Linked DNA regions of Pelodiscus sinensis. The protein of the gene in region 1 purifies or fractionates together with the protein of each later gene. This does not show direct contact. Links are inferred from orthologs where the notes say so. Each region holds a gene or a part of one and is shown in the gene's direction. Other genes may lie near its edges.

Region 1 (14,990 bases):
GGACGGCCCCCCAGACCTTCGGGAACCAAAGAAGAGAGAAGACCGCGTGCCAAAGAGGGGAAAGAACACGGAGTCTGACAACCCTGCTCAAAGGATTACAGGATGGGTTTCAAGGCGGCGGTGTGGGTGGACAGACAGAGTGAAGGACAGCCCAGCTTACAGATGGTGAGGGTGCAGCAGATGGAAGAGAGGAGCTGGCAACGTGCATAGGAGAAGGCAGGGATTCTAAGTAACTACTTTGTTGCAGAACCAAGGAACCATTCCCAACCTACCAAGACCAGCCTTCCCCCATCTTCCAGCCCAGCACTTATCCGGGTCACTATTTTAACCTAGATCTTGCCACACAGCTCCACCATGACTGTGAGGTCCTGCCACGTGGCCTTCTGGCTGCCCCGTGGCCGGGGTTGCTCAGGACCCATATGATGAATTGTCACCAGCATTACAGTACGTAACGCTTCACTCTGACGAAATAGTGTGCAAATATGAATCCTTCCAACTGGTCCAAGGGGGTGAGTAAATAGCATTCCCACATCACAGGAAAGGGGGAGAGACTAAGGTTAAAGCCAATACTGTCAGGCACTTATATAAAGGTGAGCAGACTTCAGAGGCGCTAAGCTCCTGCCATTCTCATGGATCTCAGTGGGAAGCCATGCTTGGTACTCAGCTCCTCTGGCTACCGGGCCATTTAACTAGGAACTCAAATATGGAGGATAATGAACATTTGGAAATGTGGGCACAGGAGGTACAGCTGGGAACAGAACCCAGGAGCCGCCATGCCCGGGCCACTTAGCTGGACCATGATGTGGCTCTATGGGGGAGAGGGATAGAGAGGTGATGGGAGAAGTGGAGCAGGAGGAAGGGGAAGAACTGGGCAGGGAACAGCAAAGGTTAGGGGAGAGGGAGGCTGGGGAAGGAAAGCGGGGCAATGGAAGCAGCAGGGGAGGGGGGTGAGCGATGGGTGGGGAGGGCAGGCGGCGGGGGGAGAAGAGGAGAGGCGTAGAGGGGTGTAGGAGAAGGGGGTGGGGAGCGATGGGTGGGGAGGGCAGGAGGTGGGGGGGAGGGAGAAGAGGAGAGGCGTAGAGGGGTGTAGGGGGAGGGGGTGGAGAGCAGGGGAGGGAAGGGGAGGGAAGGGGAGGGGTGGATTTGGGGGGCTGGGAGACGGGACGGGAGGCGAGTAGGGGGGTGCTTTGGGGCGCCGGGGGTAGGGGGTGCTTTGGGGCGCCAGGGGGAGGGGGTGTGATGGGGCGGGAGGCGAGTAGGGGGGTGCGATGGGGCGGGGGGGTGCTTTGGGGTGCCGGGGGGGAGGGGTTGCGATGGGGCGGGGGGGTGCTTTGGGGCGCCGGGGGGGAGGGGTTGCGATGGGGCGGGGGGGTGCTTTGGGGCGCCGGGGGGGGGGCTTTGGGGCGCGATGTGGCAGGGATTTGCTTTGGGGCGCCGGGGGGGAGGGGTTGCGATGGGGCGGGGGGGTGCTTTGGGGCGCGATGGGGCGCCGGGGGGGTGCGATGGGGCGGGGGGGGGCTTTGGGGCGCGGAGGGAGGAGGTGCGATGGGGCGCCGGGGGGCTTTGGGGCGCCGGGGGGAGGGGGTGCGATGGGGCGGGAGGCGCTTTGTGGCGCTGGGGGGGCTTTGGGGCGCGATGGGGCGCCGGGGGGGTGCGATGGGGCGGGGGGGCTTTGGGGCGCGGAGGGAGGGGGTGCGATGGGGCGGGGGGGGCGCAGGACAGCAGAGCCCGGCCCGGCCCCGCCCGAAGCTCCGCTCACCGGGCCGCGCTCCCGCCGCCGCGTGCTGCGTCCGGCCGGGGAGTGGCCTCCTGCCCGGCGCTCCCGGCCCCGCCCCGCCGCTGCGGAGCCGCCACGGGCAGGCCCAGGCCCAGGCCGCGCGGGCTGGGGAGTTCCCGCGTCACCGGGGCCCGCCCGCGCGGGGCTGCTGGGGCCGAGCCGGGGCCTCCCTGCAGGCGCCTCCCGCCGGGCCGGGCCGAGCGCGATCAGCCCCGCGCCTGGGCTTGGCGGGCGCGCTCTGACGCGCGGGGCGGGCAGGTCCCTGGTTTCGTGCTTCTTGCGCTTCCCCGTGTCCCGAGGGCTCCAGCCCGCAGCCAGCTTCGGCCCCTCCCCTGCCAGGCCTCCCTCCGTCCCCGCAGAGTCACAGCTGGGAGAACAAGCTTGGAAATAAACACGATGTCTAATTCTTCCACCCCCATGCTTCCTATGATGTGCAGGATCCAGACCTCATCATACCCCGGGCTGGCATCCTTTGTGTGCTCCCTCGCCGGCTCACTTCATACACAGTATGATCCTCCTGCAGATGCTTAATCCCTTCAGGAACTTTGCTTCTGCAAGTTCTCCCATTGAAGTCAGTGAGGCTGCTCCTGGGCATAAGAACATTCAGGATCTGGCCCATAGGCTGTAAACTCTTAAGGGAACAGGAGACGGTGACGTGCCCCAGGTTTCACAGAAGAGGAACTCATCAAATAATCATTCTGATTAATAATAAATGTCCAAGTTAAATGAGACATGATTAAAGTGAATTTTCTCTGCCAGGCCTCTCCACAAACAGGAGTTTGGAATTAAGGAGACAGAAGTCAGTTTCCCCTTGTGTACCTTACCTATACACAGGGCCACAGACATATGCTGCTTTGCAGTGGAGGAAAAATACACAGCAAATGCAATCCTGGCCTTCTAGTGCAGGGCTACTCAACATGTGGCCTGCCACTCATTTGTTTGAGGCCCGTGGTATGGTTTGGGTTTACACAGGGGCGTAACGTACGACCTGTGGTGGGAGCCAAAACAAAAAAGTAGTTAATATAATGGTCTTCTGTGGATATGTGTTTTAGTAGTTAAATTCCTGGACTGTCATTGCTCATTAAAAGTGCTGTCATATGGGTGGAAATCGGGTAAATATTGCATTTTATTAATATCAGCAGAACTGACTTAAATGGGGCCTGTGTGTTGTGTAGTCTTGCCTTAATCTTTGTATTCATGCCTGTCAGTGTGAAAAAAGCTATTTGCATATATTTGCATGTATAGGCAACCACACTTAAGTCACAGCCCTCAGCATGAGCTGTGAGTATCATTGTGGCCCCTGGGGCTTCCAAAGTTGAGTAGCCATGCTCTAGTGCCGTGGTCCCCAACCCGGTGCCCGCGGGCGCCATGGCGCCCGCCGGGCTCTTTACATGCGCCCGCGGAGCAATCTGGGCTGGCCCTGCCCCTGGGCGTGCGGCAGGTGCCAGCCCCGGGCGCATGGCCGGTCCCGGCCCCAGGTGCGCCGCGCGTGCCCTGGCCCCAGCGCCGGCCCTGGCCTTGGCCCCGCCCCCGGGGGCGCCGCGCGTGCCCTGGCCCCAGCGCCGGCCCTGGCCTTGGCCCCGCCCGTGCCCCGGCGCCGGCCCCAGCCTTGGCCCCGCCCCCGGGCGCGCAGCACTTACGGGGGGAGCGCCGGCCCCGGGCGCGTGGCTATGGGGGGGGCCCCGGCCCCGGGCATGCGGCTGGGGGGGCCGCCCCCGGGCAGGCAAGTGTCCCCGCCCCCTGGCGCCCGGCGGGCGAACGGCCACGCCCCCTGGCGCCCGACAACCTGAAAAGGTTGGGGACCACTGCTCTAGTGCATACTGGAAAGGCAAAAATTAGAAACAGTGTAAAAGTGGCTGGTACCAGATAGCAGAGTTGGATTGGGACGTTCACACATTCAGGGCCGGCCCGATCCATTTTGGTGCGTGGCTGTAGAATGGATGTAAAATGGATGTAAAATTCTACATGACTGTAGAATGGATGTAAAATTTGAATAGGGTGCAAATGACTCAGCAAGGTGCTGGGTAATGGTGAATCTGGCCCTTTAAAGCTGTCAGGATTGAAGTTTGGGAGCAAAAAAAGATCTAGAAATCTGTTAGCTACCTTCCTGTGAAATGAAAATATCTCATGTATGATCTTTCTATGCAAATCATAGTGAACAAGCCAGCATGGGCCGTCCTATAGAAATGAAGCTTATTGAAGGTGATAACAAACAATTAGCACCTGAAGTAATAAAGCCAGAAAATGTGCGTATTAAAACATGGGCATTGGATTTAAAGAGATCACACTGTTTCTCTTGGCTAGATGGGCACAGACTTCACTTCTGTTTACTTACTAAATATAAAGTAGGATGAGTGGATGAGAAAGTTGAGAAACTACGCTTCCCCTGTGTTTTTGTATTTACAGTGTTAGGTAACTTATTGAAGCAAAATGCAGGACAATGTAGCACTTTAAAGACTAACAAGATGGTTTATTAGATGATGAGCTTTCGTGGGCCAGACCCACTTCCTCAGATCAAATAGTGGAAGAAAGTAGTCACAACCATATATACCAAAGGATACAATTAAAAAAAAGTTCTATCAGGTAATTTATTAGAAATTCATGCACCATGGGCCACATTCAGACCTGCAGTCAGCAGGAGCAGCTTCCCTGGCTCTGCTGCATGTGGTTTGAATTCAGGGCCACATGTCTCACCGAATGCACCAACTTTTGAATTCAGCCAAAACAATACAGCTGTAACCAAAAACCAAACAGAACGCGCTCCGGCCTTCAGGTGTTCTGTTCTGTTCCTGCAGTCACACAAGACACACAGTGACACCAGAGGTCCCTGGAGTTATTTATAGTGATGCCCGTGTCCAGTCCCCATTTGGGAAAATGTAGCTGTTATGAATTACTGTGTTTAAGCTCGGATAATGTGCCAGTCATGACACAAGCTCCCAAGTACAGATACTTCTTGCACCAATGAGTTGTCATCGAAGACCCTGATCCTGAAAGCTGTTCCAGTGGGGCTCCATGTGGGGCCAAACGTTCACTTATGGGGAGTAGCTTGCAGGGTGGCTGTTTAAATAAGAGGCCACCCCAGGGGCCTGGTTCTTCTCCATGTTTACATTGGTGTGACTCCATTGATTGTAATGGAGTTGCTCCCTGCTTGTACCTGTGCACAGGACAGGAACATCGAGGCACGTGGTCTGTAGGTTTGTATTGTAACAATAATAAATTATTGACCCAGATGTGCATCAGATACAGTAGTTGTCACCCATTGCTTAGAAACCCAGCCTCCCCCTCCTGCCCAGGCCAGCTGTGCTGGCTGCCTGTAGAGGGCAGCCTGTGACCTAGCTGGGCTCTCCGCTCCCTGGCTCTGGGTTCGCCTGAAGGCTTTTCAAACTTTCGAGCCTCGCCTCCTCCCTTGCGTCATGGAAAAGGCTGGAGTGTGGCAGGGGGACCCAGCTGTGGAGCGGGGCGCAGGACTCCAGGGGTTCGGGGGAGGGCAGAGCAAACAGGGAAAGGGGACCCCGAGGCTGCACAAGGCAACTCCCCCAAACTTACGGCGGGTCCCCCCAAACAGCAGGCGCAGGAAGGACTAAGCAAGGGGAAACTCCCCCGGCACCAGCCGGCCCAGGGCGTGCGGAGCCGGGAGGAGGAGCCCAGAGACTGGGACTCCCGAAGCGCCCTGCGTAAAGACGGCGGAGGCCGCGACTGGCTCTGAGCCCGGCCGGCAGCTCGGCAAGATGGAGTGAAGGGAGCAGAGCTCTGCGCTGCCGGTCCCCGCGCCTGGAGGAGGGGGTCTGGAAAGGGCACGTGGCTCTTCTGGGTCCCAGCCTGGGAGCTTTCCCCGCAGCCCAGCCTGGAGAGAGCGCCTCCTGCCTGGCTTCCCAGCCCTCTCTCCCAACGGAAGTGCCGCTGTTTTGCTGAATTCTTCAGGCTGCTTTTCCCCCTCCCCGCTCCCTTCCTCGGCCTGCGGACGCGAGAACCTGGGATCGTGCCTCCCTCCCTCCCCTGTGACACCTGGGGACTGGGGAACTTCAACCTGGTTGCCCCCCAAGTCTGCAGGGGGGGATCCAGCGGCTCCCTTCCTCCCCGGCCCGACTCGTTTGCTTTTGCGATCTGGAGACTGGTGCAGCGTTTGGGAAGCACTGTGCTGGGTACAGAAGGGAAGGGGAATGGACGTCGTCTGTTGATGGTTGCATTTGGTTTCTTCTCCAAACGGCTGGATTATTAGTTGTTCGGACTATCTCAGTTTCAGGGCACAGAGAGGAACTGGCTAGGAAATCATCACAACAAAAGAACCCCCTTTGCCAAACAGGATTCGGGCTGAATCGATGGAGGCCACTCTCAAATCTTTCAGCCCTTCTCAAGGGTTTGTCTAACTTTGTGTCGGTGGGTGAGTGGCAAATCCTTCCCTTTTTATTTGGTTAGCACCGTCCATTCTCAGTGGTAAAAGTGATTTAAAAATTTCCTGTCCTGAAAGAACCAGCTACTTCTCGGTTTGTCTCCGTTTTAAACTTCCCATGAACTTTTCACTTTTTCGAAGAAGGTTTTTTATTTAGGCGACTCTTGTTATTGCTGAGTGAATGTGTCACGCCTCTCTATCTTGGATTGCTTTTTGGCTTTTTAGTTTCCTCCAAACCTCCCCTCCCTTTTTTCCCCCTCCCCCCGGAGGTTTGTGGATTTCAAAAAATCAGCCCCGTCAGGAATTGCAAAATATTTGTGCTGAGATCATTTTAAGGTTGTGTTTTTGTTTTGCTTCGCCTTTTTTGTAAGGCCTCTTCAAGCACTGGGCTTCTGAATTGCACCTGATATGTTTTTTGAAAGATGGGTCAAGATTTATCTTTTTTTTTCTTAATCCTTACTAAAAAAGTCTTGCAAAAAAGGGACTTTTGATTTCTTGCATTTTATCAAGATTATTTGGGGGTATTTTTGATTTGTATGGGAAGGTGGACCGCACCAGATGGAGCTGACAACCTTATGGATGTGTGTCCGTCTGACTGAGGCATATATCACCTAATGGAGTGTGCAAAACATGTTTGATTGCCCCAGGAATGCCATTTTTCGCTGATGAATTTAAACTGCAATGTATAGGCCTTGAAGTTAAAAAATCATAGACAAATATATATTTATATTTTTATTACTTCAAGGTGGATTCACCTAAGCTCATTTCCACATCACTGTTGGTTGTTGAAACAGCCGAGGTGGTTTTAGTGGTGCTGGTGGGGAGTTGAGTTACACAGTCCTTCCGGTGCAGCCATGGCCTTGAAAGCCAGAGCACTTTACAACTTCCAGAGCGAAAACAAAGAAGAGATCAGCATCCAGGAGAATGAGGAGCTGGTGATCTTCAGTGAAAACTCCCTGGACGGGTGGCTGCAGGGCCAGAACAGCCGAGGGGAAACCGGCATCTTTCCTGCCTCTTACGTTGAGATTCTCAGGTCCAGGTCTAGCTCCAATTATACGGACCATTCAAACAGTCCTGCCAGCTCCCCTGGGAACGAGCCCTTCCATGTGCCCCCTCCCAACATCACCACCTCCTACCAGGGAAGCTTTGAGGATGATGATGATGATGACTGGGATGATTGGGATGATGGCTGCACAGTGGTGGAAGAGCCGCGGGGCAGCCCTGGCACCAATGGGCACCCAGCCCCTAACCTGCAGTACCCTGCAGCATACCCCCATCAGAACGCTGGCTATCGTCTCAAGCCAGCCTTGGAGAGGCAGGACAGCATCAGTTCCTCGAAGAGGGGCAGTGTGGTGGGACGGAACCTCAACCGCTTCTCCAGTTTTGTCCGCTCTGGGGTGGAAGCCTTTATCCTGGGAGATGTGCCCATGATGTCCAAGATTGCTGAGACCTACAGCATCGAGATGGGCCCCAAGGGCCCCCAGTGGAGGCCCAATCCGCATCCTTTCATTTGCTCTGTGGAGGAGCCCACCAAACAAACAAAATTCAAGGGCATCAAGAGCTACATCTCCTACAAGCTGACCCCCAGCAGCATCAACGCACCGGTCTACAGGCGCTACAAGCACTTTGACTGGCTGTACAACCGCTTGCTGAACAAGTTCACGGTGATCTCCATTCCCCACTTGCCTGAGAAGCAGGCCACTGGGCGCTTTGAGGAGGACTTCATCGAGAAGCGCAAGCGCAGGCTGATCCTGTGGATGGACCATATGACCAGTCACCCTGTGCTGTCCCAATACGAGGGCTTCCAGCACTTCCTCACCTGCCGCGACGACAAGCAGTGGAAGATGGGCAAGCGGCGGGCAGAGAAGGATGAGATGGTGGGGGCCAGCTTCCTGCTGACCTTCCAGATCCCCACCGAACACCAGGACCTGCAGGACGTGGAAGACCGGGTGGACTCCTTCAAGGCCTTCAGCAAGAAGATGGACGACAGCGTCCTGCAGCTCACCAACGTGGCCTCGGAGCTAGTGCGCAAACACCTGGGTGGGTTCCGGAAGGAGTTCCAGAAGTTGGGCAACGCTTTCCAAGCCATCAGCTACTCCTTCCAGATGGACCCGCCCTACAGCTCGGAACCACTCAACAACGCCATCTCGCACACAGGCAGGACGTATGAGACCGTTGGGGAGATGTTCGCTGAGCAGCCCAAGAACGATCTTTTCCTCATGCTGGACACTCTCTCCTTGTACCAGGGGCTGCTCTCCAACTTCCCAGACATCATTCACCTTCAGAAAGGTAAGCCACGCCCAGCGGCAGCAGCTGTCTTGGGTCTCAGGCGCTGTCACGATCAGGCAACAAAGCCTGTCTTGGGAGATCGCTCCTGGGACAGGGAGCACTTGGCTGTTCCATGGGGATGGCCTGCTCCAGAAGGGGAAGCAGGATCTGGCTTCATTCCTTGGGGGGTGATCTGGAGTCACCTCTCAAGACACGAAGTAGGTAACGCTGGCAGCCTCTTATAGAAGTGGCTTGGTACTTTTGGCTTACATGGTGCTCTACCTTTCAAAGTGCTGTGCACACATGAACTGAAGCAACCTCCTGTTACTCCTGGGAGGCAACTGTACATCTCAGTTTACAGCTGGGCAACCCTAGAACAATGAAATTAGGGGCCAAGGGCTTGACAGAGATCAGTAATTTTAGGTGCTTCATTTTTCTGGGTGCCAAATTTGGGAAGCTCTGGAGCCTGATTTTCAGAGACCCTGATAGTGTCTACCCCTGGAGACTTCACCTGGAGTTTTGGATGCTCCGTAGTCTGCAAGTTGCTGTAGAGCAGCGGTCACCAACCAGTAGATCAGGATCTACTGGTACATCTTGGAGCTTCTGACAGGTGATCCTGACTAGTTTGGCCAAGAGGCTGTCAAGTGCCTGAATTTCAGCTGCCTCTTAGCTCCACTGCTGTGCACCTCCTGCCCTTTGCCTTGGATCTGCCCCTGCTCCTCCCCCGGGAGCCTCCTGCTTTCTGTGCAGGGCAGGGGGAGGGAAACGGGGGGTTCTGATGTCAGGGTGCCCCCTCTCCCACTCTCTATCCTTTCTCCACAGAGCAGAGAGGGGTCACAACAGGACTTGGGATGGAGTTTGCTGGCTGCTTTAGGGAGTGGGGCAGGGCCAGAGCAGGGGTGAGCCTGCCTTAGCCCCACTGCACCACCACCCAGGATCCACCAGCAGTGCCCAGCTGGAGCCCACATCCCCAACTCCTACCCCAGTCATGAACCCCCTCCTGCACCTCAAACCCTTGTCCTAGCCCTGAGCACCCCTGTACCCAAATGCCGTCCCAGAGCCTGCACCTAGAACCCCTCCTACATCCAACTGCCTGCCCCCAGAGCAGCTCAGAGCCCCTCTCACACTCCAGATCCCTTAATCCAAGACCAAAGCCTGCACCTCAACCCTTGCCCCAGCCTGATGAAAGTGAGTGAGGATGGGCAAGAGAGGGAGAATGGAGAGAGCGGAGTGGGAAGGAGGTGGGGAAAGGGTATTTATATTTGAGAGAGATCTTGGATTGCACTTAAATTCAGAAAGTGATCTCGTGCTTAAAAAGGTTGGAGACCCCTGCTGTAGAGGCTAGAGTGCAACAGCTGTTATTAGAGGACACTTTATGAAATTTGGGCCTAAGTGACTTCCCCAAGGCCATACAGTGAGTCAGTGGCAGAACTCAAGTGTTTTTGCTCCCTGCCTGGTGTTCAGTCTCTTACAACTTGCTGCCTGTGGAGAGGGTTATTTGAATCTCTGGGACCAGAATATGGGCCAGGATCAGCCTCGTACACGGCCCAGACATGCTGCTTACTGCCCTATATTTCTTGGCATTCCACCATAACATCAGGTCTAATTTTCCTCCTGCCAACTCACACTTAGAAGGGGAAGCCAAGTGCATTTTGGCAGCCCTGTGATTGGTTCCTCGCGGGGGAGCCCAGCCCTGAGAGGAACTTTCGTGAATGAACTTTCGTGAATGTGTTCCTCCTCCTTTCTTATCTCCTTCATTGAAATAATGAGATCTTGGTCAAGTATCCTCCCTCTCGCCAGTATTGGGTGGGAGGGAAATCTAGCGATAGATAAACCCTTGTTTCCCCACACGGACTACTATACTCGGATGTGATGCATTTGTATTGGTGTTGCTGGTTGCAGAGAGCAGTCCACGACTACCCTGGAGGCTCCTGCTCCCTCTACCACTGCAGAGCACGAGGCATTTGCTAAGACGCCAGTATCAGTCATCATCACCTTGTGCTAGTGGCTAGGAACGTGATTGTTCTGACCCTACGTAGTCATTTGCTTCTAGGGCAGTCCAGGCCTCTGGTAGCTCCTCTCAGAGAGCCTCGGAGCAGCAGAGGGGAAGAGGTCTTGGAAATGCATTGTCCCAAGTCTGCCAGTGCCGAGCCAGGCTGTGCTGTTGGGCAGGAGAATCCTGTTTTATCCCCAGCAGAAGAGAAAGGGTGCCCAAGAACCAGGAGATTGGGAGTGGCAGGGCCAGCCCAAAGTCTTAGCAAGCCGCTTGCCAGAGGCCTGGAGATGCTGGATTCCCGAACACGCTGTTTGTGTCTGTGTTTCACTAGCAGCAGAGCTGTGTGTGTTTGGGAGACTTACTCTAGAAAGCACTGCACTTGGGGAAAGGCAGTCCCCTTTAATCCCAGAAGTCATACTGCCCACCCCAGGCTCCCTCCTCTGCTCATATGTGGCCTGGGGAAAGTGAGACATTTGGGTGTTGTGGGGACAAGTGGAGAAACAAGAGTTACTGCATTGTTAAACTCCAGGAGGCCCGGGTCGAGGTGCTGCAGGAACAAAACGCCTGCCCAAGAGAAAGCAGCCGTGTCCTTCACAGAGGGGGAGATTTCCAAAAGCTCAGGCCACCAGCTCCGACTGGAGAAAAATCTACCCATAGACTCTGCCTTCCTTCAGGGATGCCACTCCTCCCTCTCCTCCCCCCCCCCCCCAATTTGTATTTCCATCCAAGGGGAGGAAGCTAGCAAAAGGATCCAGCTCTGATTTCACTCCAGGGCAAATATTTTGCCAGTGAGAAAGTTCAGGCAGGAAGGCTTGTCTCTTAAGTGCTTTTCTACCATGCTATTGTATGGATCAAGGAAGCCATAGCAGATACAGAAGGGGTGCGGTTCATGGGCGGAATCCGGTTTCTATTACCGTAAAGGTGAGTCACACCTGGCTCACAGATAAATGAGGGAAAAGCTTATGTGTTCATGAGGAAGTGTTCTGCTAATGCTGAGAGCCACCCTTAAACTGAGGTTTAGCTTACACTACAAGGTTAAGTAACAGAGAGGTAGCCGTGTTAGTCTGATCTTGGTAAAACAAAAAAAGCAGTCATGTAGCACTTTAAAGACTAACAAGATGGTTTAGTAGGTGATGAGCTTTTGTGGGGCAGACCCACTTCCTCAGATCATATTCTGAAAGTGAATTGGCATGACCATTATATAACAGAGGGATACAATGAAAAAAGTAAACAAATTACAAACTAACAAATCAGCTACATAGAACAGAAGGTGGGGGCGAGGGGACAAGGAAGAGACAAGGAAGAAGGAAATTCCTTATTGTATGAGTCAATTAAGTGGCTGATCTGGAGTTACTACGAATATCAAAAGGTGGGGAGGCCGTGTTTGTAACTGTAAGGTAATTATCATCTTTATTAAGGCCCACTCACAATGTGTCGAATTTTAGCATAAATAAAAGTTCTGAAGTCTCTCTCTCTAATCTGGTGTTAAAGTCTCTTTGTAGTAAGACGCATGTTGTCAGGTCTTTAAGGGAATGGCCAATTTAATTAAAATGCTGGCTGACAGGTTTCTGAGTGTAGATTTCTGATGTATGATCTGTGAGCGCTGATTCTCTGATGAAGTGACTGACCAGTTTGTCCAATATATATCGCAGAGGGACATTGCTGGCACATGCCCCAAGGAGAAATGTATGCCTCCTTCCTTGTAAGATGTTCTATATTTCTTTCCACTCATTCTTATTACTAAGGACTTTTGTGTGAAAGTAGGCCTAGAATCTAACTGGGTGAGGCTTGGGGCTGTAACCATGACCAGGAGTCATAATCCTCTGTTTGTGACATCATGTTGTTAACTTCCTCCAGAGCCTATTGTTCTGTCACAAACAGAGAACTCTAACTTTGGGTCAGGTGCAGCCGGCCTGGATAGAAGCTCTTAGAAAGGAGAGATCCTGTTTTCATGCAAATAGACTTGGAGCTCAAGAATGAGGGAGAGGAATGATGCAGACAGAGAGCAGAATTCCTTCTCACAGAATTAAAAAACAAAATTGAAACAGCTTTTCCCACGAGCACCAACTACTGACTCAAAGCCTTCTCTAGATTGGGACTGTTGTTGGTGTATCTTGAGCTAGTTCATTTCCAGTACATGGCTGGATTAAGGCATGGGCTAGCCGGGCAGCTGCCCGGGGCGCCAACCTGTGGGGGGCTCCTGATGGCAGCTGTAAGGGGCGCACAGTGCCCCTTATAGCTGCCATCAGGCGCCGCATGCCCGGCTCCTGGATTGCGGGCTGCAGCAGCTCCCAGAGGCCACCCTGCAGCGGCCACCCGGGACAGGGGTCGCGTTAAACCCCGCAGTGCTGGCCAGCAGCTCCCTTCCACCCGCGGCCGCAGGGCCCTGTGCGGCCAGGCTCGGCCAGCCCCAGACTGCGCGCCAGCGGCGGTAGCCGGGCTGGGCATGGCCGGGCACGTGCGCCCTCCCCCACATGCCAGGTGGGGGCGGGGCTGCGCATGCGCCCTCCCCCAACCTGGGGCGCAATTAAACTGTCTGTCCGGGATGCTGGAATGTCTCGGTCTGGCCCTGTTCCAGTAATTGCCAAATCAGTTACTCCACAAAAAGTGTTCCTGGTCGTGACTCCTTTTACAGCTCATTCTGACCTTCGGACCCATTTCTCAGTCTGCATCATTTTCCTTTAATCCTCCCTGAGGCTGAGTGTGAATCAGACATACATTTAGCACCATCATTTGCGTTAATACTTATGTTAGAGCTTGTCTGCATGAGAAAGTTGCAGCAATTGAACTTATGGTGTATTTTAAACCAATATAGTTAAACGGATGCAAAAGGCTATGCGGATGCTCTCATTTTGGTGTAAACCAGGGTTATTTTAATTTAGCTCCAGTCAATGATTTAAGATAACTCAAAATGAGCCACTTTAATATGAGGGTTCACACAGAGGTTTGTGCTCACTTAAATCAGTTTGAAAATTGATTTCAGTGAAACTATTGCAACTTCTGCACGTGGACAAGGCCTCAGTTAAACTGGTACACTTCTGCATATGAATGAAGCTTTATATAGCTTAAGTACATTGATGATCAATTCAACAGTGCTACATGATTCAACATTCTAAGATAGGCAAAGCTTAAAAGTCAGTAACCAGAATGGGAAAAGTTCTGTCTAGCATCTGAGGACAGAACTAATAAAGTGAAGTTGAAAAAGGACTCTTGTATCTGCCTTTGAAGTAGCTAGTTGACAGTCAGCTCATTTGGGCAGGAGCTGACTTTTTGTTATATGAATGTACAGTCCCTAGCACAATGGGGGCCTGATCAGGAACTCTAGTGATCTAAATAATAAAGTCCCTTGCGAAGCCCATTTTGACTTGCCTTGCATACAGCAATATCCTTTGCTATCATTTTGATCTGAGGAAGTGGGTCTGGCCCACGAAAGCTCATCATCTAATAAACCATCTTGTTAGTCTTTAAAGTGCTACATTGTCCTGCATTTTGCTTCAGCTACCCCAGATTAACACGGCTACATTTCTATCACTACTTTGCTATCATTGCATTTTAAAATCAAGGCTCGGTTGAATTGTTCATGGCTAAGAATGGGTCTGACTTCTGGTTTGCAGTAAGCTATCCCATTGCAAAGTGAGTGTGAAACACTTTACACCACAGGTGGTTGGAAATTTTTAATCATAATGGTTTTTAAAAAATTTTTTATTACAAAGTTGGCCATTTTGGTTGAAATTGACGGTTTAAAAAATGTGTCATTTTGACAAATGTTTTTTAGAAAGAAATGATATGAAGCTTCTCCATGACGTTGAAACTTCTCATTTTGTCCTTTCCCAAATGGATCACTTCAGTTTTTTATTCTGAAAAAAAATTCACCGTTTTTCGTATAAAAAAACAAACATTTTAAAATGTAAATGGTTGAAATTGCATCAAAAGGAAACATTTCAGTCAACTCCAAACTAATTTGGGGTGGAGGCTGATTTTGTTTCACAGGAAATATTTTGTTTGCTGGCTATTTTAGAAAGGGGAAAAAGTTGAAATTGTGGAATTTCCTACAAAACATAAACTCTGGTTCCTATTCTGCTCTGCATTACACTCACTGTGCGCAAGACAGGGGAGAGTTAGGCCTAGAGTTCACTGCAAATTTACTCTTTTTATTCTCTTCCTAAACTTGCTTATATTTTTCACATCCATTTGTGAGTGGGGATTCATTGAACAGGCTGTGCAAAAATGGCTTATTCGTAGCTTGTTCTTTTTGACTAAACATGGTGTTTGGTCACATGGGAATGTTTCTGCTCCCCTGATCAGAACGACTGAAACATCGTCTTACTCAGGAGCACAGCACGTAACTATCAGAGAACGACTAATGTCCCGGTTCCCATGTATTTACAGCAAGAGCACCCGGTCTGCTTACATTCATGCACACAAAATCTCATTCACAGAGCATTTACAAACAGTAACAAAGGCAGAGAAACAAGGCCAAACCATACAGCCCCGGAGCCGCCGTTCTCCTTTCCAGGATCCCTTCCGGGCTCATTGGAAACAAAGGGAGGATTTCCCTA
Region 2 (14,766 bases), on another chromosome or scaffold:
CTGGGAAGCGGCAATAGATTCAGTCCGGTGAGGGATTTAATTAGTTCTAACTCCTGCCCAGAAAGCCAGAGGCAAGAGGAAAATCATTTGCTGCAGCTGGCCCCTCGCTTCCTTTCACGGCTCCCCTGCCACCTCCCGTTCATCCTCCTGCCCTGCTGATCCCACGGGCAGCCCAACCCCGAGCTTGGTGCTTCTCTTGTGCTGCTGGAACGCGGCGTTCTCCCCTGCACAGCTGCTCGGCCCCTGCAGATGTAGCGGGTGGGCGAGACCCTGCTCTCCCGGGGGATGGGCAAGTCTCCTCTGGCCTCCAGCACTGCAGAAGGGGTCCGATGACTTGCTGGCAGGGGCCAGGGCTCCCTGTCCGGTGGGTGGGTGGGGCGGGCGGCTGGCGCTCCCTGCCCAGGGGGCGGGTGGCTGGCAGGTGCAGGGCAGAGGAGAGGTGCCACATGTCAGCGTTGAGCTGAGCTGGTGTGGAAGGCGAACCTGGTCCAGGCTCGGATGCTGCAGCCGCTGGGCCGAGGCAGGTGGCACGGAGCAGGGTGCAGGCTCGGCCGGGACAGCCAAGCCTGCTGAGCAGGCGGAGGGAGGGAGTCACAGCTGCTGCTCTCAGGAGGGGCTGAGCAGTGGGTGGGGGTGAGGGGCCCGGCTGGAGATCTGGGTTCCAGGCCTGTCTCGAGGGTCGTGGGCCAGTCTTGGGGAGGGACTCTACATAGGCTGAGCTCGTTGGGGTGGGCACAGCACAGGGACCCTGGCGGCTGTGAGCCTCAGGCAGGTGCTGGCCTGCCCCGGGGGTGGGGCTAACATGCTGCTTGTGGGTCACTTGGCAGGGCTGGCAGGCCGGCTGGGGGGCTGCATGTCATCCTGCCAGCCTTGCCTCAGGAGAGGCTGCCCAGCCAGCAGCAGGTGCCAAAGGGCTCTGGGTCATGGCGCTCCCACAGCGGGGGGGAGGGGAACATTAATGCTGTCCTGGGGGTGGCTGGCAGTGGGGCTCAAGCTGGCCATCTTGGGGCTGACCGTGGGCACTGGCCACAGCGTGTGGGACAGGGCCCCCCGAGCGCTCTGGTGCCACGTGGGACGCGGGCGATGTCCCTTAGCACGTGGGCATGCGAGGAGTGGTGCTCACTGTGATGCGGTGAGCACAGGGAGCTGGGACCCAGCCGTGGGGCTGGGTAAAGCACCAAGGGCCAACACGTGGGTGGGGGTCACTGCCACGCTCATGCCGGCTTTGGGGCCTTCTCCCTGGCGCACTTGGAAGGGCCGTGGCTGTAGCCTGAGGGTGGGCGTTGGATGGGGGGTTGCTGGCCCATGCCACCCCTGCTCTCCCCCCACCAGCAATGAGCGTGGTGCACGCCCTGCGCTCGGAGCGCCTGGCCATGCTGCGAGGGGAGGCGCTGGAGCGGCCCAGCCTGCGCGCCGTGGATCAGCTGAGCCCGGAGCTCAAGGTGGAGAAATGCGTCCTGCTGACGCTGGACGGGAAGCTGCTGGGGCCGGAGCTGAGCCGCATCCGCAGTGGTAGGGCCTGGCGGGGGAGACGGGCTGGATGGGGGAGGGGTTGGAGATGGAGGGGGATTCGGACCCCGCCCTGCTGGGGCCCCAGGGCTCTATCGCCTGTGTGGCTCCGGGCCCGTGTCCCTGGGTGGGTGCAGAGGGTCTGGAATCCAGGAACCTGGGTTACACCGGTGACTTGGGCCAGTGCTGCTGGGTGGGGCAGCTCACCCGGCTCTCGGCCCCTCCCATGCCTGGCTGGGCTGATCCGTCCCTGTCCTCTCCGTGCCCAGAGATGGCTCTGCCCCTGGATGTGGAGCTGCCCGCCGATCTGCCCAGAAGCTACCTGTCGCGCCAGCGTCGCTCCCTGCCGGCCTTCCCCTTCTCGCCCGCCAAGAGCCCCCAGCGCGCTCCGGGCCTCAGGTAACACGCCGGGGACGGCTCCTCCTAGACCTGCATGTAGCGTAGCCAGGCGCCAGCCCATGGGAACGGACTCCCAGCATGCAGTGCTCCAACTTGGCCTTACGCTGGAGCCTGGGAGCAGCGCTCTGTCGCGCTAGGCGCTGGACAAACGTTGCCTTGTTCCACGCAGCCGACAATCGACGTGGACTCGGTGGCCTGTAGGCTGCGTGCTGTGACATGCGGCGCTCCATGAGGATAGGACCTGGAGCTCTTCGGGAAGCGCCTGTCACTGAGCCCCAGGAGAATCTCCATTAGCTATTGGCGCTATAGGGCCTATGACACAGGAGGGCAGTTCCGGGGCCATCCAGTGGAGGGCAGTGGTGCATTCCTGAGGAGGTATTCTGGAAGCTGTGCCCTGGAGCTGATGGTTCTTTCTCTTCCAGGAGCCCCAGGAGGAGCATGGAGACGCTGTGCACTGGCCACTTCCCCCCAGGGCTCAGTCAGCTTGTGACAGGGCTGCGGGGCTCTGTGTCGCCCTCGCCGCGGGGCACAGCCAGCCGGGCCGCACAGCCCCGAGCGCCCCTGGCCAAGGTCCCTGGCAGCAAGGCCAAGGCAGGCGACGCTGCATGCCAGGGGTGCTGGATGCAGCCGGAGTCGGACAGGAAGCAGCCCCAGGCAGGGGCTAGCAAAGGGACCTGCAAGGAATGACAACGTGGGGGCAGATAAGCTTGCTCCGGGCTGGGTGGGGACTCACCTCGGGGAATGGCTGGTGTCCAAGGGGGGAGGGGCTGTACTGGGGAGCCAGCTGTGTGACTAACCGGGCAGAGGCCGGAAGTCCTCTGCACAAATGGCCAGCAGCAGATACTGGGTCACTGGAGGGATTCACTGAGGGCTCCTGGCTCCAGGGAACCTCTTTTGGGCTGCCCTTGTCTGGAGGGCCAGGCCAGCTCGGTGGGTGTCCATGGTTGCTCTGATGCACCCCAATAGAGGCTGGGCCTCCTAAACTGGGTGATGCGCAGTGAGCAAGACTGTCCCTCGTCTGGAGAGCCTTAGGTGAGGTGCAGGAGGGAGATGGGGAAACTGAGGCACAGGGATGCGGTGGCAGAGCTGGGACTTGGACCCTGGGGTCTGAACCGTGTTTGCTTCCCTTCCTTGCACTGGATGACGTCACAGTGGCTTGGATTTTTACAAATAAAACTCTTCCACGTGAGCTGTGGCTGCCCCTCTTCCTGCCCCTGGAGCCCTGCCTGGAGGGGCGGGGGTGTGCGTGAGGGAGGGTCTCGTCGAGGGGGGTGACGGGGACCAGCCGGCTAAGGGGCTTTCCCCAGCCGATGGCACTTACGCCACTAGAGGGGGCCACATGAGAGCAAGTAGGCTAAGCGACTGCAACTTGCTTCAGGGTGCAATCAAACCTATTCGCTGGTGCTGGGGGGTGCTCCTGGGGCTACCCCAGAGCTGGGGGCATCTCCCCATCACCTGCTCACGGGCAGCAGCCTTGGCTGTGGATCTGCCCCCCGCAACCAGCCTCTGCCCACAACCAACGGACAGTCTTGCAGCCTTCCTCTCTCGGGCCAGGCTGGCAGCAGCTGCTCTGGCTCAGTCCTGGCCTGCTGGGCGCTGGTCCAGCCCTGGGCTGCTGCCGGCTGACAGGCCTGCTGGTCCCAAAGGAAGCGTTTGCAGCAGCCTGTCACTGTGGGGTGTTGCTACTTCATGGGGCACCCAGCCCTTCGCTGCCCTCCTCGCTACAAACCTAACTCCATAGCCTCGCGGTACAGCAGGGAGCTGGACATGGGAGACCAAGGCCACCCGCAGAACAACCAGCAGGGTCTTACCCGGCCTCGGGCGGGTCCCTAACTCTAAGAAGCTGGTTTTCTTCACTTCCATCAGCGCTGAGGGGTGCAGGCTGCCCTGGGCAGAGAGGAAAACCTCGGCCCGCACTCAGCGCAGCGGCTTGGGGCTAGGGGAGAAGCGCCTCTCCCTGGCCGCTGCAGGGGGCACAGGTGCTAGGAGGGGGCATGTCCCCTGGCGGGGGGGACAGACGACAAACTCTGCAATGGACAGTGGCTGTCCCTCTTCTGGCCCAGTGGGCCCCAGCTCTGCCCCTCTGTGGTCATTCTGCAGCATAACTCACCCTCCTGCCTGACCCTTTGAGAAAACAATTGAATTCCAGGCAGGGCCTGTTGTCCTGGCACAACCAAACCCCGACACGCTTTGCTAGACGAGGAAGCTGCCTGGCGGAGTGGGTGGTCCGAGCTCTCGCCGGTTGCGGGGCGGGTGGGCGTGCACGCTCCCAAATGCATCATGGATAAGGGCAGGCTCTAGAGGGAGTTAATGAGCAGATCTCTTCCCCACCCCCTCCTGAAAGCAGCTCAGCTTGCCCAAAGTTGTCATGGGCTACGTCTACAAACGAGGCTAAGTGGGGAATATTGCCACACCTCATTTGCATACCTAATGAGCCGCCGTTTTTGCAGAAGAGGCCCTTGCGCCAGAAGGAGCTGTCTACACCGCCCCGGTTGTGCAACAAACACCCTCTTGCGCAAGGCCGCTTACTTTTCAGGAAGAACGGCGTTGCGCACGAAGGGGAAGCGTAGACAGCTCCTGGCGCAAGGGCCTCTTCTGCAAAAATGGTGGCTCATTAGGTATGCAAATGAGGCTCAGCAATATTCCCCACTTAGGCTCATTTGCATATTTCTGGCGCAAGAAGCCGTGACTAGACAGAGCCATGGTGTTTTCAAACTCACCGGGCTGAGGCCCTTTCTCCGGAGGGGAAATTGCTGCCGGCTTCCACGGTTGGGTACCTGGATCTAGTCTCAGAAGCAGACTCCTGCTGTTGGCTTTTCACTGCCTCTTCACTAGCATTTGAGGTGCTGCTGGGTCCCTGAGAGGTGGGGGCGGGGGAAGGCTCTCTCAGGGGACCGAGCGCCTGAGCTCACCTGACTGCCCTTTGCAGTTGGGAAAGGCTCCTGGCAGCCCAGCGCAATCCAAGGGGGCTGGCGTAAAGAGCGAATGCAGGTCCTCAGACCCCCGCCCGCTAGCACCCCGCAGTCACAGGGCCACAAGGGGGTGGGGGGCAGTGGGTTACAGAGCGTTACAGCCAGGGGCCTCCAGTCCTTGGTTTCTAGAGTCGAGCCACATGACGACGTTTCGCTCCCGGACTCCTCTCTGGAAGGTGTTTGTGCCCCTGGGCAGTGCCCTGTGCTCACCCGTGGGAGGCGGTGTTAGAGCAGCGCCAGTGTCTGGTTTCAGCTGTGTTGCTGGGCCAGGTGTGTGTGGGCCCCTGGCGGTGCGTGGGGGAGGGGGATGGGTCACGGTGGGGGTGGCTGCTGGTTTGGCAGCTGTTCTGGTAGGGGCTGGCGCTGGGGTGAGTTGTGGGCTCCTGGTCTGGGCAGAACCTGCTTCTACTGGGAAGCTTGGGGGGGGGGGCACAGGTGACTCCTGGTAGCATGCTGGAAGAGCATCTCCCATGGCCCTGCTACAGGGGTGCCCCCTCCCTGTTCCTCTGGGTGGCCTCCTTGTACCCCTTTCCCCTGCCATCCCCAGTCACCTGGGGGCAGTTCCACTAAGCATGGGCTGTAATGGTTTCAGGATCACTGTGTAAGTCCTGGCGGCCGGGGGGGGGGCCTCTTGACCCTGGTCCTGGGAGAGCTCTGTGGAACCTGAAAGCTTGTGTCTCACCCATGGGCCTTGGTCGCCTGGAAGCCATTAACCTCCCTCCTCTAGCACTCACTGTCAGGGCCGTATGTGCCGGTCTGTAAACACTGTACCCCTGGCACCCCCTGGCACCAGAAGAGCCAGGCCAAGCAGCACCCGAGGAAAATCCAAGGAGAATCAATGAGCCCTATGCCTTGTAAGAACGGGGGAGACCTGTGTTCTAGTCCCGCTTTGGGACAGACGTGTTGGGAGACCTTGAGCAGTCACTCTGTGCCTCAGTTTCCCCTCCCACCCTGGGTCTGTTTAGTTGGCGAGCTCTTCAGGGCAGGGTCAATGGTTTGTTTCTCTGTCTCTGCAGCACCTGCCCCAATGGGGCCTCAGTTGCGATTCGAAGACGACACACTAATTCTGTTGTGAGCACAGGAATTGTGCTGGGGGAGCACTACCGTGCAGTCCCTGTGCAAGGGACCGTGGATTGTGCCCTGAGAAGCCCCAGCACCCAACCGAGATCAAAGCAGTGACAACAACCCAACTTCCTCCAGAGCGGGGTGAGGCTGCGGCATGGCCGAGCGTTTGTCCTGCTCCCCGACTCCCTAGGGAGTGGGCGTAAGGCGCTGCCCAGGTGCGGCACAAGGGTGAACTAGCGGGCTGAGAGGGTATTACTGGGGCAAACCGGCTGGGAAGCTTTCTGCTAAATCCTCCCGCCACCTTTAAAAAACGGTCAAAATCAAACACTTGTGACTATGGAAACAAACCAGTGAGATTGTCTCCCCCCCTCCCCCCCAGGTTCTTTTCCTTGGGGTTGCAACAATTTTGATTCACACTCTTGCACACGCTGCTCTGGAAAGTTGCCTGCTCAGCGGTAGCTGAGTTTGGGGCCGTGTGAATGGGGGAGCCATCGGGAATGTGATTCCCAGGACACTGCTGCTAAGACTTGGGTTTCTGGTGTGGATGAGAAGGGGCTGCCCCTCCCAGCTGGCTGCCCCCTTGTCCTATAGGAAACTGGCTTGATTTTCTCTCCGGGGCTTGCATTGTATGTGCAGAACAGCCCTTCCTTCCCCAACCAGCTCCCGCTCTGCTGCCACTTCTCGGGCCTGATGCACCGGGCTTGGGTCCTGACCCCATCCTACTGTGAGTGGCCAGGGTGTTAAGCTTGGCTGGGCTGCTGCAGCTCCTAGAGCCTGTGGGGAAAGTCACTGTGCAGAAAAACCCTTCAGCAAGTTTGGCCTCGTCCTGGCTTGAGCAGACACTTTCCTGAGCTGAAGTCAGGGTACCCAAGCAGGCAGGAGCTGTGCTCAGTGGAGGGGAAACTGGCTTCAGGCAAACATCCAGCAGAGAGCAGGTCCAGCCCCAGTCTGATGGCGTTAGGAATGCTGGAAACTGTCCGTTCTGCCCTAAGGCTGACACTTATCTATAGGGTGACCAGCCCGCATGTGTGAAAAATCAGGGTGCTGGGGGCGGGGGCTTCTAGGTCACTTATAGAAGACAAAGCCCCTAATAGTGGCACCATCCTGACATTATCAGGACATCTTGTCACCCTACTTGTGCCCAGCTCTGAGCCTCTCCTTCTACTTAATAACGCCCCCCCCAGCCACAAAAATTCCTGAGACCAATAGCCCTTTAAATGCATTATCATTTAAGGTAGAAATTTCTCTCCCTGGCCCCAAAAAGGAAACAATGGCAGACCCTCCCTGAAATCCCCTAGTGGCTTTGCTACTGTTTTGGGCGGAAGGTGCCCTGAGACCTTGGATGATGGGCAGCAGCAGAGAGTGGCTAAAATACCAGCACTAGTGCATCCTCCAGTGGGAAAATGGGGTAGAGCCTGAGACTCGGTTTACCATCCTGTACCTTTGGGTGCCCCGTGGCGCCCTTCTGGATCGTGGGTAGGGGCTACCTGCGACGCCCACTGGGAATCTTCCTATTGCTAATCTACCAAGGATGCATGTGGGGGGTAGCAGGAAGCTGGGGGCAGACTGAAATGGCTCCAGCAGCATGAGTGTGGTCTCAAGGCAGAACGGCGATGCAAATAAAATGCATATAAAGTGACAATGTTTGTAAACAGTTTTGGCACCTATCTGGAGTCGGGCAAGAGATTTAGGATAAGCGTCCTTCTCAGTGGCGCTGCTGAACTGTGCATTGGACAGGTTCTATATGGGGAACTACGGTAGCCCAATGGTGGGCGTCTAAACTGGGCAATATGCTATATAGGAGGGCAGCTTGTCTAGCTAGGAGAGCTATGTTACCCCATGGGGGGTGGTTCATAGTAGGCTTCTGTATGGACAAGGGGCTGCCAAACAGAGAGAATTAAGGTAATGTAACATGAGCTTCTAGAGGGAGATATATGGTAAAAAAATTAAGAAGACATACGCTAATGTAACGTGCTGCTATACGGAGAAATGAGGTACTCGATTGAGATACGTTCTATACGAAGGAATACGGTACCGGCGGGGGGAGGGAGGGGAGGGAAGAGGACAGGAGACCAATAACGAGGAGGGACATGATGATTGACATTCTGATCACGCCTTTCCTCGAAAAGTCCCGCCTCTCCCAATGAAATGGATGGTGTGGCAGAGTGACAAAAGTTCTGACCAATGGAGACAGGGCGCAGTGAGGGTCGGAGAGGGCGTAACCCTAAGGTAGAGCGACTGACTTCTCCTCCAATGAGGAACCAGAAAGGAGATATTAGGGCGGGACCTAAATATCCCGCCTTCCTGACAAGGTCACGCGTGAACGCTATAGGTTGGGAGAAGCCAGTGACAGGGCAGGCGACCAATAGCCACGCGCCGATGAGGCCCAGCCCTCCACCCACCGCCCGCTCTGATGGAACGGCCGTCCCTATTGGCTAGCGCCGCCGCGCGGGGCGGGGCAGGGAGGGGTGAAGCGGCGCCGGAGGCGGATGAGGAGCCCGTGAGGGGAAGCTGGGCCGGGAGCCGTTGCGGAGCCGGGCCCCGCGGCCGCCATGGGGAACCGGGGCATGGAGGAGCTGATCCCGCTGGTCAACAAGCTGCAGGACGCGTTCAGCTCCATCGGGCAGAGCTGCCACCTGGACCTGCCGCAGATCGCCGTGGTGGGCGGCCAGAGCGCGGGCAAGAGCTCCGTGCTCGAGAACTTCGTGGGCCGGTGAGCGCGCGCGCCGCGTACTGCCGTTGGGGGAGCGCGCGGCCGCGCCTACGCCGCTTGCGTAAGCCGGCGGGACGGGAGCGGCCGGGCGGCTCCGCGGCTGGCGCAGGCGCGGTCTGTGAATCCGCTTCGCGTCACTCGCGAGCGCGCGCCGCCCTGGGTCCTGCGCCGCTGGCGCGAGCGGGGCCGTGCGCAGTTGGCGTAGGGCGCGCGCGCTGGCGGCGTAGCCAGGTCGCCTCTCCGCGGGACGCAGCGGGCGTAGAGCGCTCTGTGAATAGCAGGGGGGTGGGGCAGCAGGCGCGTCCCCCAGTCCTGGGCACAGGCCAGCTCCCCCCAGTTGTCCCCTGCCCCAGAGGCTGCATGGAGCCCCCCTCCCCCCGTCAGGAGCCATGACTTGCTCTGGGGTGCCCCCCACGCAAGGAGCAGGGCTCCTGGGGGGGGCAGGATTCTCCTCCCCCCCCCCAGCTGTCATCCTGCGCCTGGTGGGGGGGGGGGGGCTCGCGCCGGCCTCCTGAGCCTTGGGGGCAGGGCTGCAGACTCCCACCCTTCCCGAGAGGCCGCTGCCCCACTTGCTGCCACCCTGTTCCTGCCGAAGGGTCCCTGGGGCTGAGCCTTGCAGGTGCAAGGTGCTGGGACTGGCACTTTGGCTAGGAGGAGGCTGTTTGCTGCTAACTCCCCCCTCCCCCTGCACCTTCTTGGGAACTGCCAGCTACTGCAGCAGAAGCTGAGCTCTTGTCTAGTCTATATATTCCTGATAGACCCTGTGGAGCTTTTCATAAGGTCTCAGGTGCCATGGCCTCTCTTGTTTCTGTCTCCAAATCCCTTACCTTCTCCAGTTCCGTTTTTACACTGGCGAGCTGTATGTTACCCTGAGAGAGAGAAGACTTAGGTAATTCCTGTTTGTCTTCTGCATAAACCGTCTTCCACCCACTTCAATGGGATAAGAATTGGGGAAGTGGTTTGTCATGCCTGGTGGGATCTGTTAAGATGCAGGATATGAGCAGAGTGGGCCAGCTGGTGTAGAGGGTTGTTCTAGTATTTGTTTTAATTCCTTAAACTCCAAGGAGGAAGATCTTTAATCTGCACTGGTAGGAGCCAGTGTGCCACTTGATCCAGCTAACTGTACTTTATACAAATGTTCTGGTATACCCGGAGCACACTGGATCTGCACTTGTGGTACTGCATGGGCTATTTAATTTCAAGTGATGATCCCTGTTTCAGTGATAGTTTTCCAAACCAGTGGGAAATGGAGCGGAGATGGACTTTAGAATCTGCTGAAAAATGATCCTGTGAAAAAGAAAGTGCTTCTGTAGTCAGGCTGGGTTCGGTCAGCATTTTGTTTCAATGGTCTAAGAATAACCTGGATTGTTAGTGAATTGTGGAATGCATGTGTGAGGTTTTTTTGTATTGATCGCTCGAGCTGAAGTCAAGCTCTGTGTGATGCTTTAACAGAACAGCTTTGGTTGTTGTTTCATTAATGGCACTTAACTTGCAGATTAGTGGGGGTAGATGTCAGCATCTTTGAATTCCTTAATCACAATTTTCAGGACTCTTTAAAAAGTGGTACAAGGATCTACAGGAGAACAAGTGTCTGCAAGGTGGGGAGGACAGTTTTGTCAGAGCAGCTGACAAGGTTCCAGAGCGTAATTCTAGAAACTGGAACCTGTTCTTCATTCAAGTTAATCTTAGACTTATAGCAGAGTCCTAGCCTTTTGCTGTTCCCATGGCAATAATGCCCATGATGATCTTAATTCAAATGGGGTCCTTTTCTGCTGGTGCTGTACAAACCAGGACCTGGAAATTGTGTACCTGGATGGATTAGGGATGTTAAGAAGCATGTAATTGGTTAATTGTGTAGTGGACAAACGTTTTGTCAACTACATGATTAATCAGTAAGGAGTAACACTGCTACCACTCGCTCCTGGCTCCTGCTGGCTCCGGCCACTACCCCCGCTGTGGCTCTGCACTACAAGCGCTTGTACTGCAGAGCCACAGCAGGGGTTGATGCTGGGGCCTGGCACGAAGAGCCAGTGTGCAGGCAGGCTGGCTCAGTCCCGGCTTATGCTGGGACCTGGCATCAACCCCCACTGTGGCTCTGCACTATAAGCACTAAGAACCAGTGCAGGGGGTTAATGCTGCGACTGAGCCAGCCTGCTAAAAAATATATGGGGAGAGGAATGTTGCGTGTAGTTGATACATTAACCAATAAGGACCTGCTTGTCGGATAACCGACTAGTCAACTGCTCTATTATATCCTTAGTGTGGATCATTAGGCTCCTGCCTCGGTCCCACCCTTCATGGATCTGTCTGCAGGATCCAGTCCCTGCTCTGGGAGAGTGCATTCGAAGACAAGCTGCAGCAAGTGGGCTTGCTAGATAAGGGGGAGAGGCTGAGGTGAGGTGTCAGTCACAAGGTAGTGTGGTGACAGGGTAGCTACTGCACAAGTGGACTGTAGAGTCCACTAAAGCTTTGGGTTTTTAAAGGCTTATTTCTTCTGGTGTGACTCGAGTCCCTTTTAATTGTTTCTGCTTTTGTGGTGCTTAACCCCTGTGACCTGGGGAGCAAGGTCACTTATAAGGGTCTGTCTTGTCTCAGGCTGACCTAAGTTTTCAGTGTGTTGAATTTCTGCCTTTTCTACAGCTTGTCCTAGCTTAAAGGATGCGGGTAAAAGGTTGGTAACTAATGCGTGACTTTTGCTACTTGTAGGATATCTTTGGTAGAACAGGACAATCTAACTGGGTATATCTGGAATCTGTCTCTCCGGTAGTGCCTCATAGTATTGGATGGGGAATAGCTTTAATAAAGGTTGAGGCACTGTGGGAAGCAGCATGGCCCAGTGGATAAGGCACTGAACTGGGAGTTAGGAGGCCATGGGTCTAGTTCTTGCTTTGCCACTGATCTGCCAGGTGACCTTGGGCAAGTCATTTTGTCTCTGGCTTGTTCAGCTCCCACCCTTAGTTCTGTTTTAGGCGATGTAAGGCCTTTTGGGCAAGGATGACTACTTGATATGTTTCTAAAGCGCACAGCAAGGCGGGGCCCCGTTTGGCATACAGCAGATGCTGTATTGAGTTCTTGATATGTAGATTAACCCTGGATTCTTCACGTCTAACCAGTCAACCGATTAAATGTTAGGTTAACCTAATACTTAACTGGTTAACCTACTAAGTCTGGTGGGAACAGCCCCCAGGCCATGGGGCTCCTGCTCCCAGCCCCTCCAGAGCAGCCCCTGACCATGGTGGGTTCCCTGCAGGGCTGGAGCTGCTAAAGCCCTCACTGGCTAGCTGGAACTGCCCAACCTTTCCCATCCCTAATGTAGACTGTGCGCACTTAGTCCTGCATTTCCACTCCCTGCCTCTTCTGTAATGCCTGGGCTTGAGTAGAAGTTGTGCCTTGTCTGTTTCCAAAGAGCAGTGTTCGGTTTGACTCAGGCTGGGCTGTTTTCCCTACATTTTTGGATACTTTAGCCTCTTAATCATAATGATCTCAGACTAGTCATTTATTCTTTCTGTTGGGGGGAGGGGGGGGGAAGAACAAGGAATTTTCCAGTGTTTTGATCCTGCAGTTGAATCTTTTCACTTATTTACAATTTTCCTAGGTTGGTGACAATGATCATGTGTCTTAAATCAGAATCTGGGGCCTTGTGATGTTGCATCTGATCTTGGTCTTTCATTATCATGTGGGTTTGAGCCGTGTTCTGGATGGAGAGCTTGCGGAGAGCTTGTGGGAGGGGGCATTGGAAGCCCAGTGCTTCCATCTTTACTAATTGATGGGTTTTTTAAAAAGCAGCTGGATCAATTGAAATCCAGTTTTGTAAAACAAAACTTGCACCTGGGCTGATGCGTTGAGTTAAGCTTTGTCACTGTTGGGATCCACATGGTCAAGTTATTACCACCTCAGAAGCTGCCAGTGGATATACTGGCAGCCTATAATTACAGTGACGCTGCAAGCCCTGCCCCGTAATTAAAAAAATCTTTGTTTCACAGCTTTTAAGCCTTCAGCAAGGAGGCCTTTAATAAGGGGTTAACCAAAATCTCTAGCATCTTTTTCAATACGTGTCTGAATTAGGCAGGTTTTACGTGAGGCAAAAATCTTTGTAAGGTTTTTTTTTGGGTAACCTGGAATCTTCCAGTCAGCTCTTCTAGTTCTAACTTTGTATTGCAGCAGGGCCCTTTTGTTCGTAATTGAGGGTAATTATGCTGTCTGTGTCGAATGCTGCACGCTCAATGGTGGGTTTCCACATTCGAAGCCACAAGATCAAAAGTTCCTGCTGTGTGGCAAGAACAATGGCTTGGGTAGTGTCCCCTGCTGTGTTCTCTCCATTCATCGCTACAGAAGCGTTTGGGATGAGATTAAAAGGGAGCGCAGCTATAACTACAGGCGCTGGTGTAACTGGAGCTGCCTGAAACGGTTAACCCAGCATTAGGGTTGACTGGCCAGGCTGGGACCCTCCGCTTGTAGCATGGCACCATGCTTGACCCTGTACATGTTACAACAGGAAAATCTTACCTGGCGGGTTGGGGTTGGGCAGGTCAGACTTGGTGGAACAAATGCTGATCTAAACTCCTCAAGAGGAGCTCCAGCCATGAGCCAGGACTCCATTGGGCAGGGTGCTCTATGCTGAGCGGGAAGGGGGGGAGTGGTACTGCTGGTTCCTGTCTCCCAAAAAAAGCTGGTTCTTGTCTCAAAGCTTCCCAGGTATGAGGAAATGACAGGTGGATACAGGCAGACTAATGGACGAGTCAAAGGAATGAGACAGGACTGGTCAATGAGGAAGCAGGAGTTTCCACATACCAGCGGCGTCATTGTTGTGATACCTACAAAGGCTTAAAGCAGAGTTTGAAACAGGATGTTTATACAAGGGGCAGCTGGAGAGAATACATAAGAATATAAGAACAGCTACACTGGGTCAGACCAAAGGTCCGTCCAGTCCAGTACCCTGCTGCTGACAGTGCCTGATGCCCCAGAGGGAGGGATCACGACAGGTAATCCTCACGTGGTCCCTCCCTTGAAATGAAGGGGCTTCTTTGGAAAAGTAAGGCATGGGCGTGGGGAGCCGGGCGTGGCAGGTGTGAGGTGGGTGTTGACATCTAGTGAATGATGGGCCAAGTGAAGACAAGCGGCTTATCTTCGATCCAGTAGCAAAGGGGCGAGCTGGTGGAGGGATGCAGAGAGAACATAGTGAGGCTAACAAGGCGAAGGCAACTAAGGAAGGGGATAATATTTGTTGGACCAGTTTCTTTTGGGGGGGGGGGGACTTTTGACCTTGCACTGAACCCTTCTTCAGGTCCACATGGCTACACCAGCACTGGGTTACAAACATCCGGTCAATCCTCCATGCAGTGAGCCAGAACCTTTCAACTCTTAAGCACTCAGGAGTCCCACTTACGTCAGCAGCCTTGCTTGTTTGTGTAAAGTTAAACTGGTACAGGTGCTGGGTCTCATGGGATGTGTGTCCCGAAAGAACCTGAATAGAAGACCAAACATTTTTCCTAAGAGCAGTGTGGGCAGCGCTTAAAAGGAATGACTTAAATGTCCATGTAAATAGTCTTTGTTTGAGTGTCAACATCTCTGGGGGATACTTGCCATTCAGATAATAGTACTGAGCTGATGCTGAAAACAAGGTGGACCAGTCCTGTGTGGTGTGAGGCTTGTGGGAGCTGGACTTGAAGCGTGAGCAAGACACAAGTAAATTAGACTTTTTTTGAAACTGTGCTTTTTAGTGCTTTTTAGCCTCTCCTCATGGCATATTGGAGTAATGTCTCATGTTAGTAATACAGATAAGGGAATATTTTGATCTCTTTTATTTTCCAATTTACCTGCTTTGTTGTTACAAAGGATGGAAGCTTTTATTACAAAACTACTGACCCTCTTGCCTGTAAATGGAAATATTTAGTGCTGGTAAATTTCCCTTTAAGATTGTGCATGTTTTGATCACTCTGATCTAGCTTAATACATAATAAATTGGTGGGTTAGCTAATGTATGGATTGTAAATTACTGCCTAGGAAGCATCACTAATGGTCCAGCAGTTTTGATATCCTGTCTCCAGATGCATCAGAGGAAGGGACAAGACTCCAGGGACACCACTACACCTCAGGCTACCTCATGTT

Evidence for each region.
Region 2: the proteins of SNX33 (region 1) and DNM2 purify together in Homo sapiens (co-immunoprecipitation; 3 studies listed by BioGRID and IntAct, with this or other methods). This does not show direct contact. The link is inferred for Pelodiscus sinensis from reciprocal best matches to the Homo sapiens genes SNX33 and DNM2.

The regions. Positions count from the first base shown.
Region 1 is NC_134724.1:34,383,109-34,398,098, reverse strand, and holds the start of SNX33 (sorting nexin-33), read left to right. Parts: upstream 1-5,182; 5' UTR 5,183-7,021; coding exon 7,022-8,456; intron 8,457-14,990. UniProt on the Homo sapiens protein: Plays a role in the reorganization of the cytoskeleton, endocytosis and cellular vesicle trafficking via its interactions with membranes, WASL, DNM1 and DNM2. Acts both during interphase and at the end of mitotic cell divisions.
Region 2 is NW_027465894.1:169,520-184,285, forward strand, and holds the start of DNM2 (dynamin-2), read left to right. Parts: upstream 1-8,400; 5' UTR 8,401-8,497; coding exon 8,498-8,658; intron 8,659-14,766. UniProt on the Homo sapiens protein: Catalyzes the hydrolysis of GTP and utilizes this energy to mediate vesicle scission at plasma membrane during endocytosis and filament remodeling at many actin structures during organization of the actin cytoskeleton.